Macaca mulatta: one gene and its partner. The protein of the gene in region 2 purifies or fractionates together with the protein of the main gene of each other region. This does not show direct contact. Links are inferred from orthologs where the notes say so. Each region holds a gene or a part of one and is shown on either strand. Other genes may lie near its edges.

Region 1 (4,405 bases), on a different chromosome or scaffold from region 2:
GGGTCTCCTAGAATAGTGAGAGCAATTAGCAGAAACTCTTAGTATGAACTCAGTAAATGAAGGACGTAAATCATCCACAGAAACTTTCCCAACAAGTGGGTTTGTAAAGACATTTTAATACGTCACTAAATTCTCCTTGGTATGATACTCTTTTAATCATCTATCCATTTTGCCTAGAGTTACAGAGGGTAGAGCTAGCATTCTGTATAACCAAGTGTTGTGTGCAGGTACAGGGGGTGGGTAGATGTGTATTACATTGACAATGCTTTAGGAATGGAAAAACGTAAGGAGCAAATACCATATATTTTCTCATATTCATGTTTTTTTTTGTTTTTTTTTTTTGAGACAGAGTCTTGCTCTGCCGTTCAGGCTGGAGTGCAGTGGTGCGATCTCAGCTCACTGCAACCTCTGCCTCCCAGGTTCAAGCCCTTCTCCTGCCTCAGCCTCCCGAGTGGCTGGGATTACAGGTGCCCACTACGACGCCTGGCTAATTTTTGTATTTTTATAGAGATGGGGTTTCACCACATTGGCCAGGCTGGTCTTGAACTCCTGACCTCGTGATCCACCCACCTCGGTCTCCCAAAGTGCTGGGATTACAGGCGTGAGCCATTCTGACTGGCCCATGTTTTTTTTTTTTTTTTTCTTACTCCCCTGGGAATTTTTTTTCTGTTTAATTTACATGTGGAAATACATGGTAAAGAAGAGTTGGTCACCTAAATTTTACAGAACTCGAGATACTAGTTTAATACAACTAGAAGGGACAAAATATCTTGTTATATTGCTATTAGAGTTCTCCTTTCAAAGGCCTGCCTTCCCCCTCCCCCATCCTGGGCATTATAGAGATAGTAGCACAGAACCTAATAAAACAGATACTACACCTCCTGAGATACCTAATTTTTGGGAGTCTAAGAATTTCTTTAGGTGAAAGTACACTTAAAATCAGCACCTCAAACTGCTAGAGAAGTATGCTAAGTATATGCTATTGGATTCTAAGGTTCATTGGATCTATCATTACCATGAATATAGAGGATGTAAGTAGATAATCACAGAATTACAGGAACATACCCGCTTAAATTTCCCAGAGACCTTGTTCTGAAGTCTGCTACAGTTGGTACTGATCTGATAGGAAATGCTTTTAATTGTTTTTCCACTTTGAAGAACTGGATGAGATTCTGCCAATGTGATGACACATATTCTACAAGGAGAAAAAATTGATCCTATGTGATTGCTTGGAATAATTTTTCCTCCCATAATTCTTATTGGAACAAGAATGTATGAACTGGTATTTGTTTAGTCAAACTATCATCTTCCCCCTTTTTTCTTTGGCTACTATTGGGGCATAACTGTAGAAAGGAGAATACAATAATAAAAGAGAAAACAAGATTGAATTTCTTTCCCAGGAAAGGGAAGAGTACCAGAGATCTTTAGGTAGGTTGCACTGGGGTAGAAGACAAAAAAATAAGGCATGCCTGTGTATACAAGATACCATGTATGTCTCTACCGTAGCCCTTTCTGTGGGCTCTTAACAGTTCAGTAGTTGGGAACAGACTGGCCACTTCAGGTAGTAGCTGATGATGTGGTCCTCCATTTGGGTGTTTGAATAATCAAATTTATTTGTTTAGAGTGGCCAGGCACTGGAATACTCATTCTTGCCAAACAAACTCCTATAATAATACCATTTCAACACAGTAGAAGATAATTAATGCATGTTTGTTTAGTGAGCATTTGTTCAATCCAAGACCACAAGACCATACCAGGCTACAATACCAGAAAAAAAAAAGGTTTTGATAATTTAAAATTCCCAATTTGCTTACCGGTTAGAGTGCTGTAGTATACAGTGGTCCTCACAAAATTTTCCTTTGACATCTAGAAGAATAAATGAGTCTGTTGGTGGCTGAAATCAATACTTACTACCACTATGTGGTCCTTTTTTGGGTCATAGAGATAGTTAATAATGAAGATTGGACACATACATGCTGCATGCTGGTCACTTCTATCCCTACATTGCTCAAAAAGACATACCCAAAGGCTTCCTGGAAAGTATTTAAAGAGATCTGGCCCAGACAGAATAATTTATTCAACATTAAGGTAATTAACTCCTTGCTCCATCTTCCTTTACACTCACTTCAAAATGAGTACACACAGTATTTTTGCTAGGAAAATGCAATTAGCATCCCATTCTTTATGATATATATTTTTTGTTGGTGGTTTCCAGGACTGTTCTGATGCTGGTGCAAGTCCGACATTCTGGGAAACCCCTCAGTCATGGGTCAACTAGGACAGGTTGGTCACCCTATGTTTGACCAACAGAAAATATGCTACAATATATATTTTTTTAACTGAGTATAACCATTATCACTGAATGAAAGGAAGAAAGGAGAGTCCCAAACGATGCTCCCGCCACTGGTACTGCTTACACAAAACAGTACAAAAAGAATACCTACTTCTAAGTGGCAGATGAACAATACCGGTGGCGTCTCCTTAAGTAAATGTGTAATTCTGCTTTCTAAATGTCTGTAGCCCACCCTCTTCTCGCCAGCCCTACTGCCTCTACCTTGGTTTCGATCTGATCATTTACATAATTTTATGTATTGCTAATCGCTGTGACAGTGAGCCCCTCAATCCCTCCAGGCACTTCAGGACTGTGGCAACCTAGCCCTGCGCCTACCTCCGGGGCCTCCGTGAGCTACACCCTAGAGCTCGCACTGCAATCGCCGGTCCCAGAATGCGCCCTGAAGTATTTCAGGCCACCAGGTCTTTGCAAATGCCACTACCTGGGCCTAGACGGAACACAGAAGTCCAGCTCCTTCTGACGTGGGAAGGGAGCGCCAGGGAGAGAGCGCGTGGCTTACGATCTGTCAACGTAGTCTCCACAGCATTAGGCCAATGCGGCCAAGGAGGGATCAACATCACTCTGCACTTACCCGGTTTGTACCAGCGAGTGAAGTATCGATCCACGAGCGAAGGCACCACCGGCTCCGCTGCTTCGGGCTCGGTAGCCATGGCGACCTCCGGCGCCGCCACCCCCTCCCTCCCGGACCCCAGCGCTTCCTCCGCGCAGCCCCGGCTGGGCGTGCTCTTCCGGCGCGCAGCGCGTGTCCTGCGCACGCGCACTTCTGCCAGCTCCGCAGGTTCCGCCCCCCATTACTGTGCTTTGGGGTTCCACATCAAAAGAGATCAAATACAAAAGTGTGGGCAGATGGGCAGGAGGGCAGAGGGACAGGGGATGCGGCCAATGTAGTTCCTCTACCTCTACGGTGCCAGGGCTACAAAGAAGGCCGGTCCCGGTAAGTGACCAAGAAAGCGGACCCGGCCACGCCTCCGCCGCTGGATGACGTCACCCCGCGCCGCCCTCCGCGGGCCGGGCCATCCTAGTTGACGCGACCATTGCGCAGCTGGCCTCTGCAGTGCTTCAGCGCACCCCTGGAGGCCTAGTGCGCTCGGTGAGAGAGCGGGAGCCTAGGACCGAGACGCGTGCGCAGTTCGGGGCGGACTCTGGGTAGCCGGCTGCGCGTGGCTGGGGAGGCGAGGCCGGATGCACCTCTGTTTGGGGGTCCTCAGGTAAGCGATCCATCCGGGGCAGGGGCACGGGAGTGGACCCCTCTGCCGGCAGTGTCCGGGTGAAAGAGACCCGGAGGCTCCTCTGCCTGCTGCGGGCCGGGGACTGGAGCGCGGGCTGCACCACCTCTTTCCTAGAGCCTTAAATTCTTTTTGCAGTTTTGCCACCTGCTCCATCGGGGGCGCTGGGAGGCGCGACAGCCCAGGGATACCTGCAGCACCTCTAGCCAGACTTAACCCAGCCTCTTGATTGCTTGCAGGGGGTTGATAATAACGCTGAAAGCTAGAGCATTAATTCACGATGGAAGGCGGCGGTTAATAGAGGCTCGGGTGCTGTCGTGCGGGTCCTTTCTGGCGTCTGAGACTTTTTCGTGGAGGTGGTGTCCTCTGTGCTTCTCCATCTAACGTGGTGTTTTAACGTGGCTTTCTTTCCCGTTAACGATGATCTCCGTGGAGACAGTGGCTGCCTGAGTAATCTTCAGATCCCAGCACTTAGCAAGTGCCCAGTCGGTGTTGGATGTAGGCCACAAACCGGATCGTAAAGAATTCAACAGCATATTGACAGCCACAGCCACGGCGCTAACCAATGAATAGATCAATATGAAGAGTAAGCAGAAAGGCAGCAAAGACAGTTTTCCAGCTCGGGGACATGGCGTAGAAATGGCCTGTCCCGAAATAGTGGGAACTGTCATTTGGGGGAAGAATAGCAAGTTCTTTGCTTTCCAGGTCGCATTTGATGTGCATGTGAGACTTGCTTGTGATATTATCAGGAGGTTAAAAATGTGGGTTTAGTGGTCAGTTTGGGCTAATTCAGTCGGGGCTAGGCATTTAGGCCTAATCAGCGTAT
Region 2 (4,395 bases):
AAACAACCTCTAAACAATGAAGATCTGGCCAGGCCCAGTGGCTCACACCTGTAATCCTAGCACTTTGGGAGGCCAAGGCAGGCATATCACTTGAGGTTTGGAGTTCAAGACCAGCCTGGCCAACATGGTGAAACTCCATCTTTATTAAAATACAAAAATTAGCCAGGTGTGGTGGTACGTGCCTTTAATCCCTGCTACTCGGGAGGTTGAGGCAGGAGAATCGCTTGAACCCAGTAGGTGGAGGTTGCAGTAAGCCCAGCACTTTGGAAGGCCATGGCAGGCGGATCATAAGGTCCGGAGATCAAGACCATCCTGGTTAACACGATGAAATGCCATCTCTACTAAAAATACAAAAAATTAGCCAGGCATGGTGGCACGTGCTTGTAGTCCCAGCTACTCCAGAGGCTGAGGCAGGAGAATCGCCTGAACCCAGGAGGCAGAGGTTGCAGTGAGCCAAGATCGCACCACTGTACTCCAGCCTGGGCGAAAGACCGAGACTCCATCTCAAAATAAATAAATAAATAAATAAATAAATAAATAAATAAATAAATAAAATCTGTGTGGTCAAGGTCAAGTCATTATTATTTACTAGTGATCTGTATCCCTTTTCCCAGTCCATTTAATCTAGTTTGATGCAGAGAAAAGATTGGATGCTGTGAGGGGCTGAATATAAGCATTTACAGTGCATCTCTGACTACATACACAGAGAAACTGTTTCTGTTTCACCGGTTATTCTAAGTTATTTTTTCTCCATTAGTTTAGCTTAAGACTTTTACTTAATTCAGAAGTAACATTTAACTCAAAAAGAAACACAAATACACCCTCTTCCAATAAACAAATCAATAAGCACTTTAAAAGGACACTTAATGATTTCCCTAGAGACTTAAATAGCTATATTAAAATTTATTTTATTTTCCATGGCTATAAGACCATGTTTATTTCTCCAATAAATTCACAAGAACAAAGGTATCATGCAAAGCGAATAAACGACACATTACAAACTCCTGGCTCTGAGAAGTTCCCAAACCTGATTGATGAGAATTACAAAACTTCCAGTCCTGAGTAATTTGAAGAGGTCTAAAAATAGACCCCAAACAAACAAAAAGACCTCTTTTGAATGTGTGTTAATAAACGAGCTATGAATTTACAAACCTCTCAACATCATTTTCACCTCCTAACAATCTATCAACTTCTCAATTTCACCTACCAACAATCCATCAACATTAAAAGGAGAAAACACGTTACGCCTTAAATTTGATTGTTTCATCGTGAGGTAATAAAATGTCAGGATTTCATAAGACATCAGAAATCGGTTGTCCATATTAGATTATGCTTGAAAGCAAGCCCTGAAAAAGGCATCCCATAATGTAAGTTTTCCAGTGTTGGTTACCCTCAAGATGTTTGCTTTTCGTTTACGTGTTTGTTTTATAGAAACAACGCTAACAAGTTGCTACACAGCCGCCTTTCACGTGTCAGGCTCCCTAGGAGGACTGAATCCCTCCTCCCCAGACCAAGGATAACTAGCCCAGTCTCTGGCTTACTGGAGGAGAGGAAGGACTTTATTTTCACCTCCTGGACGATTACAAAAACTAGTCATCGAAAACGAGGAAACGAGCAGGGTGTGAGAAAAAACTGCCTGAGTCTCATATCCTAAGATCTTTTAAACTCCTTTCCCTACCGAAGGGTGTCATTCGTACCGCGGCGTGGGGCTGGGGGTGTGGATTTACGGGGAAAAAGGTGATCACACTTCACTGGGCTTCTGAAACATTCAGCTATGGAATCTACTGTGGACTCTTGAAAAGTTCATCCCGAGATCTAACCTCAAGCCTCAGTTTTGGCCAAGCAAGCCCTTCCCCCTTCGGTCAGGTGCAACAAACTTCCCACTCACCCCTCCTTTGCTAACAAAGCCGCTCCAGCAGGAGAGAAATGACCTCTCTCTCTCGCCACACCTCTTCTGCACCCAGTCTGCACTCCTTCACCTCATACGTACCCGCCTCACCTTCTCCCCAGACGCCGGAGCCTGAGATTTAACCCCTTCCGGCCCTCGAAGGGAACGGGGAAGACTAAAGACAACGCACCTATTGCGTCTAGCAATTCTGTTCCCCGAGGAAACGTGAGCTTTAAACGAAAGTACCAGCCCGTTCTCGCTAGGACTAAGTGAGCTTCTCCCTTCTTGTTTGTAGGGAAATCCGTCAAATCGCCTACTTTGCCACCTCACCCCACTGCCCCCGCGACTGTAGGAGTGCGTGGGGCTTTACTCCCAGCCTTACTGGTCCACTCCCAGAAAAGCCTCTGTCGGACTCTGACGTCTAGGGAGTCGTAGCCGTTGCCAGAAATATCGATGAGCCTTTACCCTGAGATTTAGAACAGGAGCTTTTTCTGGGGCACATACAAAGAACGTGTTTCTTCCTACAAATTAGTAGCATCCTCTCGCTGTATGGATTCAGCTGGCGAAGTAACTCAAGCCTTGTTCTGACTGCCAGGGTGGGAGGGGTGGACGGCTCGGTGTTCTTCCCGTTGTGCCTTGCGCTCGAGGTGCTGGTCTACGCTGGCCTGGACAGTCCGGGCTAGGAGCGGGAGCCGAGCGGAGGCGGAGGAGATGGCGTCCCAGCCGCCACCTCCCCCGAAACCCTGGGAGACCCGCCGAATTCCGGGAGCCGGACCGGGACCAGGACCCGGCCCCACTTTCCAGTGAGTGTGGGATTCTTCAGGCTGGGAGGTTGGTGGGCCCGAGCGGGGACTTGGCCGAAGGCGGTTGAAGCGGTTGTTGGGGGAGGTATTCCCTCCCCCCCTTTTAACCAGTCCCCAACCTTGCGGGTAGGAGTCGAGGTGGAGTTGGGGCGCTTACCAGTGGGGATTTTTCAGTGTCTCACAGCTGTTTCTGACCCCCGGCAACTCTTAAGCACCAACGTTTTTTTCGGGAGCTCCTGGGCGTCTCTCTGGGTCTCTGTGCTTGAAAGAAAGCGGGGCGGCTTCCTACCTACCCATTCTGTTTTCACTTTGACAGAACGGCTTCACTATCTTTAGAGCATAGACTTTGGGTCTGTAGCAGTTGACAGAGGCATTTGTCCAGCCACGGCATCGGTAGGGAACAAAGTCTCGTTAAAGGTGTTAACCTCTCGAGAAGTTGCCGAAAGCCCGAAAGGTTTTACGCAACTAGAACTCAGGCCCCGAACGCTTTGCCTTCTTTTCCAGCGTAACTCAGCCAGTGTTTCAGTTTGAGATTGGAGAAGCAACATTAAAGCAGGAGTTCTAGATCTGAGGCCTATGGATGGCCTTTGTGTGCAAAATGATGTATTTTTCTGAGGGCTATAGTTTTTTGTTTGGTTTTTAATCAGTATCAGTTGGTTTCTAGGACTTTGAAAAGGCTAAAACATGCAGAGTTGGGAGTGTTTCATGGCCTCGTGTGGCTTTTGTTTGGTAGTACTGGACATCTTAATTCAGATAGGTGTGATTCAAATGTCAAATCAACTACTATTGTAGATTTTCGTAAGCGTAAAAACCCCAACATATTGGAATGTATTTCTGCTGTGTTCTGAAATCTTTTATTTAAACACTAAAATGCTTTAACACGGTAACTACTTAGTTTAATAAGGATATATACATCACAAGTAATAAGCTTTAATTAGGCTGGTAAGCCACGGTGACATTATCTGCTACCTTTTTTATGATTCGGTTCTTTTTTCCCCATTTAGACTGCTTGTCGAATGAGAAGAGGTTTTATTTTTTGCATCTGTTAAAGTTCTTTTTATGTAAAATTAACCATTTGCTCACTTTATCATGAAATATTTTAAACACAGAGACTAGCAGAGAGTAAGAATACCTGTTTATTCACTACCCAACTTTAAAAAATGTTAACATTTGCCAAATTTATGTCGCATTTTTAAAAATAAAAGTTAAAGTCTCCCATTCTTCTTTGTAGTAGTGACTATTGTCCTTATTTGGTGTTTCGCATACCCAGTAATGTTTTTTAACTTTAGTACTTAGGTTTGTGCTATTTATATGCATTTTATATCTAAAACTTAACAATGTAACAGTAATATATATGTTATATATAGTTACATGTTAATGTTTATTATTTTTTATATCTGTTTTTGTTTTTTCTGTTGCCCAATTTTCTATTGGCTTTATCTTTGCTTATCAATTTGTAAGAGTATTGTTAATACTAATCCTTTTTTGTTACTACATTTTGCTAATATCTTTCTCTGTGTGGCTTCTCTTCATGTTCAATTTTTTGTACAGATGTTTTTGATTTTAATATTGCCAAAACTGTCGTATTTTATTGTTTGTGCTTTTTGTCTTGGTCAAGAAATCCTGTCTACCTAGATCAGGACGGTTCTTCTGTATGTTTTCTTTTAAATCTTCTGGTTTTCCCATTTATATATTTAATCCACA

The links.
Region 1: the proteins of PUS10 (region 2) and ABITRAM purify together in Homo sapiens (affinity purification with mass spectrometry; 3 studies listed by BioGRID and IntAct, counting the BioPlex papers as one, with this or other methods). This does not show direct contact. The link is inferred for Macaca mulatta from reciprocal best matches to the Homo sapiens genes PUS10 and ABITRAM.

Annotation. Positions count from the first base shown.
Region 1 is NC_133420.1:49,472,524-49,476,928, forward strand, and holds the start of ABITRAM (protein Abitram), read right to left. Parts: upstream 3,050-4,405; 5' UTR 3,004-3,049; coding exon 2,925-3,003; intron 1,867-2,924; coding exon 1,815-1,866; intron 1,196-1,814; coding exon 1,066-1,195; intron 1-1,065. UniProt on the Homo sapiens protein: Actin-binding protein that regulates actin polymerization, filopodia dynamics and increases the branching of proximal dendrites of developing neurons.
Region 2 is NC_133418.1:63,756,065-63,760,459, reverse strand, and holds the start of PUS10 (tRNA pseudouridine synthase Pus10), read right to left. Parts: upstream 3,102-4,395; 5' UTR 2,849-3,101; exon of another isoform or gene 2,692-2,848; coding exon of another isoform or gene 2,600-2,691; exon of another isoform or gene 2,079-2,599; intron 2,066-2,078; exon of another isoform or gene 1,889-2,065; intron 1-1,888. Other genes in the region: PEX13 (peroxisomal biogenesis factor 13), read left to right, coding at 2,600-2,691. UniProt on the Homo sapiens protein: Protein with different functions depending on its subcellular location: involved in miRNA processing in the nucleus and acts as a tRNA pseudouridylate synthase in the cytoplasm.